3 linked regions of the Sus scrofa genome follow. Each later gene encodes a partner of the first gene's protein in a complex. Links are inferred from orthologs where the notes say so. Each region holds a gene or a part of one and is shown on either strand. Other genes may lie near its edges.

Region 1 (3,500 bases):
GAAACATGCCAACTTGGAAACCATGCTAAAAGCACTTTAAAAATCTGGCTTATAATGTAAGTGATAAAATCCATTATTTATAATAGATGTTTTACTTCTGAAAAATGACAAATTAGCATGAGTGTCTAACATCTCCATTTTTCTTTTCATTTCCCTTTTTAGCCATAATTGTGGAGAATTTCTCTTTGTTTTATTCCACCGAGGAGGACCAGCTCTTAAGTTACAACGACCTTCGCCACTTTCAAATCATATGGAACATGGTGGATGATAAAAGAGAGGTAAGAGAGCGGCTTGTGGCGTCAAGCCCCAACCCAAAGTGACTTGCCGCCGTGGCTCAAACAGTTCAATGGTTTTGCTGTTGACGGTTGACTTGCGCTGAATGGAACGGCCGTTGCTGAGCTGCAGAAAGCCGTCACTGACAATTGAGAAGAACATGCCGGGAGAGGCGAGGCCAGAGTAGCTCCCCCGACGTGTTCTTTCCCACCACAGACATCCTCTCCTTTAGACGGTCAGAAGGTCGGCAAGGAGAGGGAACCAAGGGAGCGCTGAAGATTCCAGCCTGGGTTCAGGGCAGGAGAGGAGGTGACGTTCCACTTACCAAAGTGACAGTGTCAAGACTGACTCACAGTCACCTCAGCCTCGCACAGCAATTCTCATTAGAGGTGCAAAGGCGTTCCTGAAGTGGTTTCTGAATGTTATTCTTTTGAATTATTTTGGACTTAACTCTTCGAATATTTGCATCATAAATCTTACCCCCGACTTCCCAGAATTAGCTAAAACAGCAGCAGCTCCCACCTCTACCTCCTCCTCCTCCTCCTCTCCCCACCCCCTCCCCCTCTTCTTCTTCCCTTTCCTCCCCGCTCCTTCGCCATCCTAGCAAACCCTCAGGCACAATTCTGGGCTCCCGGGGTGAGGGTATGACCGTGGACAAGATGGCAAGGTCCCTGTGCTCTCCGAGCCTATGTCCTAATACGGAGAGACAAACAAAAAGTGAAACAATAATGATTTTATAATTTCAAGAAGTTAACACTATGAAATGGGGGACACACAGTAGCAAGTGGTTGGATTTGGGGGGCAGAGCCTTAGCAGGGTGGTCGTGAAGGCCCGGCTGAGGAGGTGATATGCGACTTAGCTGACAGACAGCAAAGCTGAGGCTTGGGCAGACCTGCGGGAAGATGTGAAGATAGTTTCCAGAAGAGTCGACTGTGGACAGAGAGACCAAGGAGCCAGAGGCAGAGGAGAGGGTCCTGGACGTGGGCGGGGGTCTGCAGCTTTCTGCACACCCCCTGCTCTCTCTGTGCCACCTCCCCTTCACCCAGGCATCGGTCTCCGGGTTTTCCTCTGAGACAGTGACCTGCTTCTACGGGTGTCTGTGTCACCCAGATCCACAGGGACCTGCTCTCCTGGCCACGTGCAGGCGCAGCCCGTCACATGTGTAGACCTTTGTAACTGACCAGAATCCAGGTGACCAACTCCCCGCCTCTGGCCCAGCGCCTCATTCAGAGTCGGAGCCAGGCTGGCTGCTAGGTTTTGTTGCTCAGAAGGGGGTGACACGTTAGGTCCCCAGAATTTGGATCTGCTGTGACCAGAAGGGCTCAGAGCTGGGAGCTCAGGTCTCCTGGACATTTTTGTTCTAATTATGAAGACCCGGAAAGGAGTGGTCTTTCTAAGTATGGGTCCCATTTCTTCTGCTAAATGCGTCCCTGACCCACTGGGCACCTGTGTCAGAGAACCACGTGACCAGGGTCGGAATCAATGAAACAGACGACAGGAAGGAGGCTGGGAGATCAGGAGCCTGTCCTGGAGGCGAGGGGACCTTAGCCCTGGCCTTGGCTCCTTGGCTGCTGTGGGGGGTGATGCCCCCCTAGAACCAAGGGGCTCCGGGGGGAGCTCCAGGGGCTCAGATCTCAAAGCTTCCCTGGGTGCGCAGACGCACCCAGCCTCCGGGAGCCCAGCCGCCTCCTTGCCCCGATGACAGGCTAGCTTTTGGGAACTAGGCTGCGTGCGGGCGTTTTTGCTGTGAAAACAGAACCGCAAGCAAAAGGATGGTTCGGTAACGACGGTGCTGTGTCACCAGGGTGTGATCCCGACCTTCCGCGTGAAGTTCCTGCTGCGGCTGCTGCGGGGGAGGCTGGAGGTGGACCTGGACAAAGACAAGCTCCTGTTCAAGCACATGTGCTACGAGATGGAGCGGCTGCACAACGGCGGCGACGTCACCTTCCACGACGTGCTGAGGTGCGCAGCTCCCCCGGCTCTGGGTGGCAGCCAAACTGAGTCCAGAAACCAGCCGAAGCTGCCATCCTTCAAGGCCCCGATAGATGCAGCTTTCAAGTGCGTTCACACCCAGAAATGCCACCTCCTCGGCCCAGGTTGTAAGGCGCAGTCCCGCTTCTCAGGGGCCAAGTGGCCTTTCTCACTGTCCTGCAAGGATCGTGTCCCTGTGGGTGCCTCATGCGGGAGGGGAGAAGCAGCGGCACGTCCCCAGATGCGCCCCTGACTGCAGAGGGGCTCCCATGGAAAAAGAAGCTGGGGGGGAGGGGTTTCATTAGGCAGGTAGGAGCTGGTCCGGGAGGGTTGGGCCACCTGCTAGAGCTCCCATCCCACTTCCTCACTCCTGGGTCAGGCCAGTATTGGCCTGGCCTGCTCAGGGGTGGTGGTCTCCAAAGGGCTGACAAACCCCCTTTCCCAGACATTTCATGAGGACCCAGGCAGGACAAAGGGGCAGATGGAGGCCTGGCCCTTCCTGGTCTCCAAGAGGAATCCGCATTATTTGCTAGGACTGCAGCAAAATAACTGACATATGCCGAGTGGTTTAAACAGCAAGTTAACTGTCTCCAGTTCTGTAAGCAGGGAATGAATTTGAGGTGTCGGCAGGCTTGGTTCCTTCTGCGGCTGTTGGGGGAGATCAGGTCCAGGCCTTTTCGCAGCTCCTCGTTTCTGGCAATCATTGGTGTTTCTTGGCTTGTGGAAGCATCATTTTGATGTCTGCCTTCATTTTTGCAAGGCATTCTGTGTGTGTGTGTGTGTGTGCCTCTGTGTGTGTGTGTGTGAGTGTGTGCTCCTGCGTGTCTGCGTCTGTGTCTTTTATAAGGACACCGGTCATGTTGGATGAAGGGTCCACCCGACTCCAGCATCACCTCATTTTAACTAATTACACCTGCAATGACCTCTTTCCAACTAAGATCACTTTGGGGGTGGGGGGTCCTGGGGGTTAGGACTGAGGAAAACAGTTCAACCCCTAACAGCTTCTTAGATGGGAGTTCTTGGATAAAATGCAGGGGTCCATGGTCTTGGAAAAGGAAACAGTTACATCTTTATTTTCATGAATCATTTGCTAAAATACAGCATTTTCTGCAGTGATGAATGTCGGCAATAAAGCACAGCAGTATTAACAATACCCACATCTTGTCACCTGTAGAAATCACAGACATTTCAGATCACATTACTGCCGTGTCTGATATCTTACAATATCCATTACGCTCACCAGTTCTCAGTGAGTC
Region 2 (3,500 bases), about 5.1 Mb from region 1:
AATTCCTTTTTTTTTTTTTTTGACTGTACCCACAGCATATAGAAGTTCCCAGGCCAGAGATGGAATCTGAGCTGAAGCTGCAACCTCCACCACAGTTGCAGCCATACTGGATCCTTAACCCACCACCCCACAGCAGGAACTCCCTTGATGAATTCCTTTTAATAAAACTGGGTCCAGTGACTGTCGTTCACTGATTGGGGAGGGGAGGGACCGGGGCGGGGGGGTGGGGTGGCATGGCTGTGAGCTTGCCATCCCAGGGCCTTAGGTCACCTGCAGCCAATGGGGAAACTAGGAAAAATGCTCCCGTTTCTTGACTTGGTTTAGACTAATTCTGCCTGAGCACCGAAGACGTTTCATTCAAAGTGCATCAAAGGCTTGTGAGATGACTCAGCATCTACTCAAATGTACCTCAGAGGTGAATGACTTGCATCCGTGTATCCTTCTGTAGGAGCGGAGCCTTCAAAGACTGTGTAACAATGTTTGCGAACAAATGCTTTCTCTGCAATGTCTTTCTAGTTTCCCTACAAATGGGAGAGGTCACTGGGGGTTTCGCCCGTGGCCCCTGGGAGCTATTTTCTGTGTTCCCTGCTTCCCATAGGGCGACGTTCTGGGGGCCGTGGTGTCTCGGACCCCCGTCAGGAGTGACCAGGCAGTGGGTGATTCCCACCAGCTGCAAAACTCAGGGGACCCCTGTGACCCAAGGTGGAAAGGATGGACGCTAGTGACCCGGACACACACAATCCTCCCAGGAGGCCTGGTCGCCCCTTAGGCAAGAGGGTCCGTCTGAAAATGAGTACAAAAAATGTCACCGACCTCAGAGGCAAAACACCTTCAGAATTTATTCTGCACGTTTTGTTTTGTCTTGTTTTGTTTTTCTTTTTAGGGCTGCACCCACGGCATATGGAGGTTCCCAGGCTAGGGGTCGAATTGGAGCTGTAGCCGCCGGCCTACACCACAGTCACAGCAACGCAGGATCTGAGCCACGTCTGCGACCTGCGCCACAGCTCATGGAAACGCTGGATCCTTAACCCACTGAGCGGGGCCAGGGATGGAATCTGCAGCCTCATGGATACTAGTCGGGCTCTTTATTCACTGAGCCACAACGGAACTTCCTACTCTGCACATTTTTGAGAAGTGTAAAAAGAACATAAGCCCAGGTGACAGCAGGGAAAGAAGAGCCAGGTCCCCAAATATTCGGGGGTGAGATCCTCCCAGAAAAGCTTCTAATGTCCATGACATTTCCCCCTGGACCTGACTAAAGACAAATCTCTCTTTTCCTGTCTGTTTTCCTTAATGACGGAGATGAAAAATCCTGATTTTAAAAACCTCCAAGACAATTAAAAATATAATAAATATGATAAAATATCTCTCCACACGTTGGGCAGAAAGAGATTACCCTCCATGCTCAGCTTTCTGGTGGTTTGAAAGTGTACAGGCAGGGAACGCAGGGTCAAGCCTGTATTTCAGACTCAGACACGCAGATGAGAGAGCAGGAAGCAGGAGAGATGAAGGCAGATGCCTCGCCCTTCTTTTGAGGTTGTGTGTGGTCTGTCTGCTCTGAGAACCTGGCCAAGCTGCTGACTCCTCCAGGAAAAAAGTTACACGCATGTGAGTGAACACAGATGCAACACTTCCATAAAATTCCACAGGTTTCTCAGAAACCCTCAAAGCACGGACACCTCATTGACCCCAAAGTCAAGAGCTGACAGCCTTATCTTGATGGCCATTTAGTGAGAATTTGAAGTGGAAGGCAAATAAACACATAACCTGTGACTGATGAACTTTGGCTCAGACTCAAAGGAAGAGGGTGTTAATATCTCCCTTCCCTCTCCACTTCCTTCCTTCTTTCTTTTTCTCTCTCTCTTGCTCGCTCTGTCTTTCCAGCAGAGACGAACTACATGAACAACAAGCTCAGTATCAAATCAGTGGAATAAGAAAATAATTGGTAAATCACTTTACATTCCACAAATCACCTCCTTACGTGCCATGGCCGTTGCCTACAGCTGACCCGTCTCATACCTCTCCTCTCCCGGGAATCCTCACGGCAGGCGTGGGGTGGGGGTGGCGGGGGTGCTGTGGCTGATTTACTGCTGAGAAGACGGTGGCTTAGAGAGAACGCAGAGTGGCATCAGGATGAAAGCCCGTGTCTCTTAACCTTCATCCAGACGTTCTTCCCACAAGGCTGGGCAGCGTCAGAAATACTCATCCGGCGTGTAGGCAGGTTCCAAGGGGAGACCGTTTGCTGGACTCTCTCTTGATGGAGCGTCGCTTGGAAGAGCGTGGCTAATGGACTGGCATGGATTAGATAGACCTAATACGTGATCCAGAAGGACCCGGATAAGTCCTCGTGTGGGTCATACCAACACGTCACTCTGCTTAGAAGAGTTTCACACAGTCTGTTACAAGAACAGGTTTTCAGGTTTCTTCGTATTTATGGTCGCGTCTTATCCTTAAAACCTGCCAACATGCCACTCAAGCCATCTCGCGTCAAGGACACCCGGAGTACTTTGTGAGGGAGAGAATATACAGCGACAGCTTGGATTACCCCGTCAGTACAGCAAAGTGGATGGTCCCCACTTGTCTATCCACCATCTACTTAAAAAAACAACCTACGTTTATCCTCTACATCCTAGTCTGTGCCTACATTGCGCAAGGCTCATGAATATCCAGACATCGAATGTTGCTGTGGGTGTTTTGCTCAGCCTGGGTCATTTGTTGAAAGAAATAAACATTATTAATGGGAAATATAAGATAAGATTGTACCTGGCCCTTGTTGTGTGACTCTAACACACACACACACACACACACATAACTTAGGTGGACATTTCTTCATATTCTTAATACTTGTTTAAGCTAAAGAAACATAACACTTCTCAAAGAATAGGCTTGGGACAAAAACCTGATACCGATTTGAAGAAGAGATGATTTTCCAGCCTTATCCTATCATCTGTTCTTAGATTAATACAAAGATAAGGCAGGTGGAACCCAATCAGCTCTAAGTCAACTTAAGCAAAGGCATTGTTTTGCCCGCGGAACGAGCCTTTGGCAAAGTTAACGATTGCGGTCACAGTTAGATGACACATAATGCAGCATTTCCGAATCCGTTTTGGGGTCCTCTCAGGGCTTCCGTGGAGGAAAGCATGGAATAGCACCAGCCACATCTTCAGGGTTACAGCTGTGGAAGGGGAGCAAGTCCACCACGAGGGGCTGGGTGCCAGCACCCGCCCTGCACTCTACCTGTACAGATGAAACTGGAGAGTCCCCCGTAGATGACTTCGTCATTGTCGGGCAATATGAACGGACATCTCGTCTGAACCTCCAAACAGTATTGCTTGCAAGGAATTGTCTTTCTGCAGTTAAGCTGTGCGACTTCAAAGTACTGGGAACACAGCCAGGCTTTGTAGACAATCTGAAAAAGAGAAGAATCAAAAATAGGGCGGGATGACAACAGTTCTGACTAATAAGGGACGTGCTGTACCGTGGGGAGCATGCTGTGGTTT
Region 3 (3,500 bases), on another chromosome or scaffold:
GTTGACACAGCCACAGCCCATCAAGATTCAAGGTGAATGGAAGCATTTGGTTCCTCAGAAGGAACCAAACCCGAAGAGCCTCACCCGCAGCTGGACTTTATTTAGATGAGACGATCTTGGACCTCCAGCCAGGAATTTGCATGCAGGAAGAATGTAAATGATTTGTGACCAGAAAATAGGATGGAAATTGCAGGGCTTAAATTTTGGGACTTTATTATAGCTAATAACTACCTAAGAAATCCATGTCCACATTCTATTGTTTATGTAATAGTGGGAATAAAGACTAGTTATAACTGAAGGGAAGAAATAAACACTAGCAACGTACTCCAGTATACACCACACTGCTAGTGTTGCGATTTGGTTTAGTGGGTGAGCAGGAGACGCCCCAAACCAGTAAGGATTCATGTGCTTCCAGAATGAATTTAGTGTGTGAAAGAGAAAGAAAGGGTGCAAAGCAGGAAAAATACCTCACTTGGAGAAGTCAGGGCTGACTTGGATGCTGAAGGAGACTTGAGCTTTAGATGCGGAAGAAACACTGTATTTTAATAAATAATTTTAAAGAACTTATTAGTAAAGGTGAAAAAGATCATTAAAAATTTAAACTTGCTTTTATGATTTATTGCGCTGAGTCCTGTTCAGAAAATTAGATTTTCCAGCACTCATATCTAAAATTTTGTGCTAAAATCAAAGTGGAAAAAGCCTTATTTTGAAATGGGTGTTCTGATAGGCAATTCAAGACATTGTCAATGTTTGGATGTAGGTGTTGTGCTTGTCTTCTTCCTTCTTTTGTCTCCCCAAGATATCTGTTATGGAGCATTCTCAAATCCTCCCCAAGCCTGAGCTCATAATGGCTTAGGGTATTATTTTTTTCCTATGATATTCCATCTTTTTTTTTCCCTTTTTTTGGCTGTGGTTCTGGCACATGGAAGTTCCTGGGCCAGGGATCAAACCTTCTACAGTGTTAACTAGAGTCACAGCAGTGACAATGCCTAATCCTTAACCCCCTGTGTCACGAGGGAACTGCTGTTATATCCCATCTTAATAAGCTCTATGGAAAAACTGAAATACAATGGTGGCATCTGTAACAGATAGGTTTCTGCAAAGGTCAGGGATATTTCCTGGTTGCCCCTCAGATTGCTTTATGTGGGTGCTGCCTTGCTTCTCTGCTTCTTTCAAGGCAGCTCTGACAATGGCATCCCCCTGAACTTCAGCATCTTTCTTATACTGCATCACTTTTCTCACCTCCATCACTTCATCTGTTGACTCCTTTCCTAGAGTGGATGCCATTGGCTGAGCCTAGGAATGGTTCTTGCTATGTTTTGATGCTTCCTTGTATCAATTGACATAGTCTTTAGGTCTTGATAGAAAGAGTGCTTGCCGGTGGGGTTAGATAGGCCTGCTTTTGAACCATCAGCTCAGCTCAGCACAGCTCCCTACCTGCCCTTAAATGTTCAGGGACAGATGTACTGTGATGGAAATCTACTCTTTAGGTGGTGGATAAAATGATTTTGAAAGTTTGTTTTAGGGGCTGAAATTGTTCCTTTCCTATTCTGTGATGTGCTCTCTCTGGATCACAGTTTTAATTTTTTTCGTATTTCTGCTGCAAACTCGTAAAACACTAACTTGAAATAATTCAGAACGTCCACCATGCCCCATGACTGAGGTCACTTTATGGAGGACTTTTCAGTCATATTTAGGCTGTTCTACCACTCATACTAATAGAAACCTCTTCTCAGCTTTATTTTTAACTATGACTGAAATTTAACTGGTTAGAGATGACCTGCATTTTGGAAACTAGTGGCACTTTAGAAAAGTGCTGCCCCTTCCGGTGGCCCTTCTGTTTGTTCCAGTTATTAGCCAGATTTACCTCAGTGATTAATTTTGATTGATTTCACTCTTTTGCTCCTAGAACTGCAGTTCCCATGTTAGAAGAGCTGTTGTCACCTGCTTTTCAGCAGGGTGCTGTGGTCGTCACGGAAACAGGCCTGTTCGGTATTGCAAAAGATGCCACTCGAATCATCACAGTAATGAAGTGGGGGCTGCGTCGGAGACCCACCTCTATCAGACCTCCCCTCCACCCATCAACACTCGGGAATGTGGTGCTGAGGAGCTCGTCTGCGCCGTGGAGGCCGTAATTAGGTAACGGCTTCCTTGGAAGCTTACCCTGAGAACATTGCCTTTGCAATGAGACACCCGTTCCACATGAGGTGGGCAAATTTAACTCAGCTTCAAGCGCCCTCAGCCAACATCTCACCTTCCACAATGTTGCAATGATGATTTTTTTTTTTTTTCGGTCTTTTTAGGGCTTCATCAAGTGGCGTATGGAAGTTTCCCAGGCTAGGGGTTAAATCGGAGTTAACAGCTGTCGGCCCACCCAACAATGTGGGATCCAAGCTGCGACGTGCACCACAGCCTAGGGTAATGCCGGATCCTTAACCCACTGAGCGAGGCCAGAGATTGAACCCTAGTCCTCATGGTTACTAGAGGGGTTCATTACCACTGAGCCACACCAGGAGCTCCCAGTGATGATATTTTAATTCATTAATTCAACAAATACTTTTATTGAGTGCCAGTCACATGCCAGGCATATGTTAGGCACTTGGGAGAGAGAGGAGAGTAAAGTGTAGTTTCTGACTTCAGGTTACCCGAGTAACTTGACTTCCGTATTAGTGTAATAAATGTTTGCTAAATAAAACATTACAGAAAGTTTGGAAATAGGAAAAAAATCATCCATATTGCTGTCATCATCATCAATTTTGCACATGTCCTTCTAGTTTTATTCAATGTTTTATTTATACGACTGTAATCACAGTGTATCCGGGTTCATTCTGATGTAACATTATACCAGCAGCTCTTTTCCCTCTTGTTTGGTAGTTTCTGCATTTATCACTTTTAGTGACTACATAATGTTTATTTAAATTACTTTCCTCTACCACTAAATATTTTGACTTCATTTTTTTTTTTACTGTTATAAATAACTCTGATAATTGTTTTTGTGCATAGTGCTGTTCCTATATTTTAAATTTTTTTAGGGTATGTGATCAGATGTTGACTGGGTCAAAGGTATGAATATTTTAATGGTGCTTGATACATGGACAAACTGATTTTCAAAGCGTGTATATGAATTTCACACATCACTGTATGACGTTGCTAGTTTTTTCTATACCCTTGCCAACATTGAGTATTATTTTTAAAAAATTTCCATTCATTTAGCAAATTGCAAAAGGAATGGTTGTAGCTCACTGCCAGGTATTTGAACCCTAGATATTAAATATTTTACCATTTGAGTACCAGTTCCTCAATTTCTCTTCGTATCCTGTATTTGATGTCTGCATAGCTTCATATTAGATCTAGGAAAAGCACTGGCTTCTAGTGAGATGATTGATGAACTAGAAGCCAGAACCATCAGTCTGCTTGATTCTAATTGACTGGAGGAAGGCGCCTCCTTGCGCCTCAGTTTGGTCATCTATGAAGTGGGGATGGAGTAGAACATAGGAAAT

What was found. The genes of interacting proteins can lie anywhere in the genome.
Region 2: the proteins of NALCN (region 1) and FAM155A are in contact, whole or in part, in a cryo-EM structure (PDB 7CM3), measured with the Homo sapiens proteins. The link is inferred for Sus scrofa from reciprocal best matches to the Homo sapiens genes NALCN and NALF1. Residues at the interface, in NP_001337678.1 of Homo sapiens: Cys207, Val209, Asn220, Leu222, Ala223, Ile224, Pro225, Thr227, Tyr237, Pro240, Phe243, Tyr406, Glu409, Phe909, Ala1044, Lys1045, Asn1047, Pro1049, Arg1054, Ile1060, Arg1062, Ile1063, Asn1064, Val1065, Ser1066, Lys1069, Lys1080, Lys1081, Gly1083, Phe1084; in NP_001073865.1 of Homo sapiens: Lys278, Glu281, Phe282, Val285, His287, Lys288, Tyr289, Leu290, Gln291, Glu294, Tyr295, Ser296, Val297, Lys298, Ser299, Tyr308, Trp311, Leu312, Gln315, Leu335, Gln338, Thr339, Cys341, Phe343, Ile344, Leu345, Pro346, Asp347, Asn348, Asp349.
Region 3: the proteins of NALCN (region 1) and UNC79 are in contact, whole or in part, in a cryo-EM structure (PDB 7SX3), measured with the Homo sapiens proteins. The link is inferred for Sus scrofa from reciprocal best matches to the Homo sapiens genes NALCN and UNC79. Residues at the interface, in NP_001337678.1 of Homo sapiens: Gln349, Met350, Phe351, His352, Glu353, Gly358, Trp359, Gln360, Leu361, Phe712, Ser713, Ile714, Arg717; in NP_001333147.1 of Homo sapiens: Cys861, Gln862, Ile865, Glu968, Pro969, Asp970, Phe1020, Gln1022, Pro2088, Asp2089, Ala2092, Pro2093, Leu2095, Leu2096, Met2099, Leu2139, Pro2141, Asn2142, Gly2143, Ile2144, Gln2147, Leu2148, Ser2151.

The regions. Positions count from the first base shown.
Region 1 is NC_010453.5:69,719,021-69,722,520, reverse strand, and holds part of NALCN (sodium leak channel non-selective protein), read left to right. Parts: intron 1-162; coding exon 163-278; intron 279-2,077; coding exon 2,078-2,235; intron 2,236-3,500. UniProt on the Homo sapiens protein: Voltage-gated ion channel responsible for the resting Na(+) permeability that controls neuronal excitability. NALCN channel functions as a multi-protein complex, which consists at least of NALCN, NALF1, UNC79 and UNC80.
Region 2 is NC_010453.5:74,774,700-74,778,199, forward strand, and holds part of FAM155A (transmembrane protein FAM155A), read right to left. Parts: intron 3,410-3,500; coding exon 3,238-3,409; intron 1-3,237. UniProt on the Homo sapiens protein: Auxillary component of the NALCN sodium channel complex, a channel that regulates the resting membrane potential and controls neuronal excitability.
Region 3 is NC_010449.5:114,881,761-114,885,260, forward strand, and holds part of UNC79 (protein unc-79 homolog), read left to right. Parts: intron 1-1,909; coding exon 1,910-2,139; intron 2,140-3,500. UniProt on the Homo sapiens protein: Auxiliary subunit of the NALCN sodium channel complex, a voltage-gated ion channel responsible for the resting Na(+) permeability that controls neuronal excitability.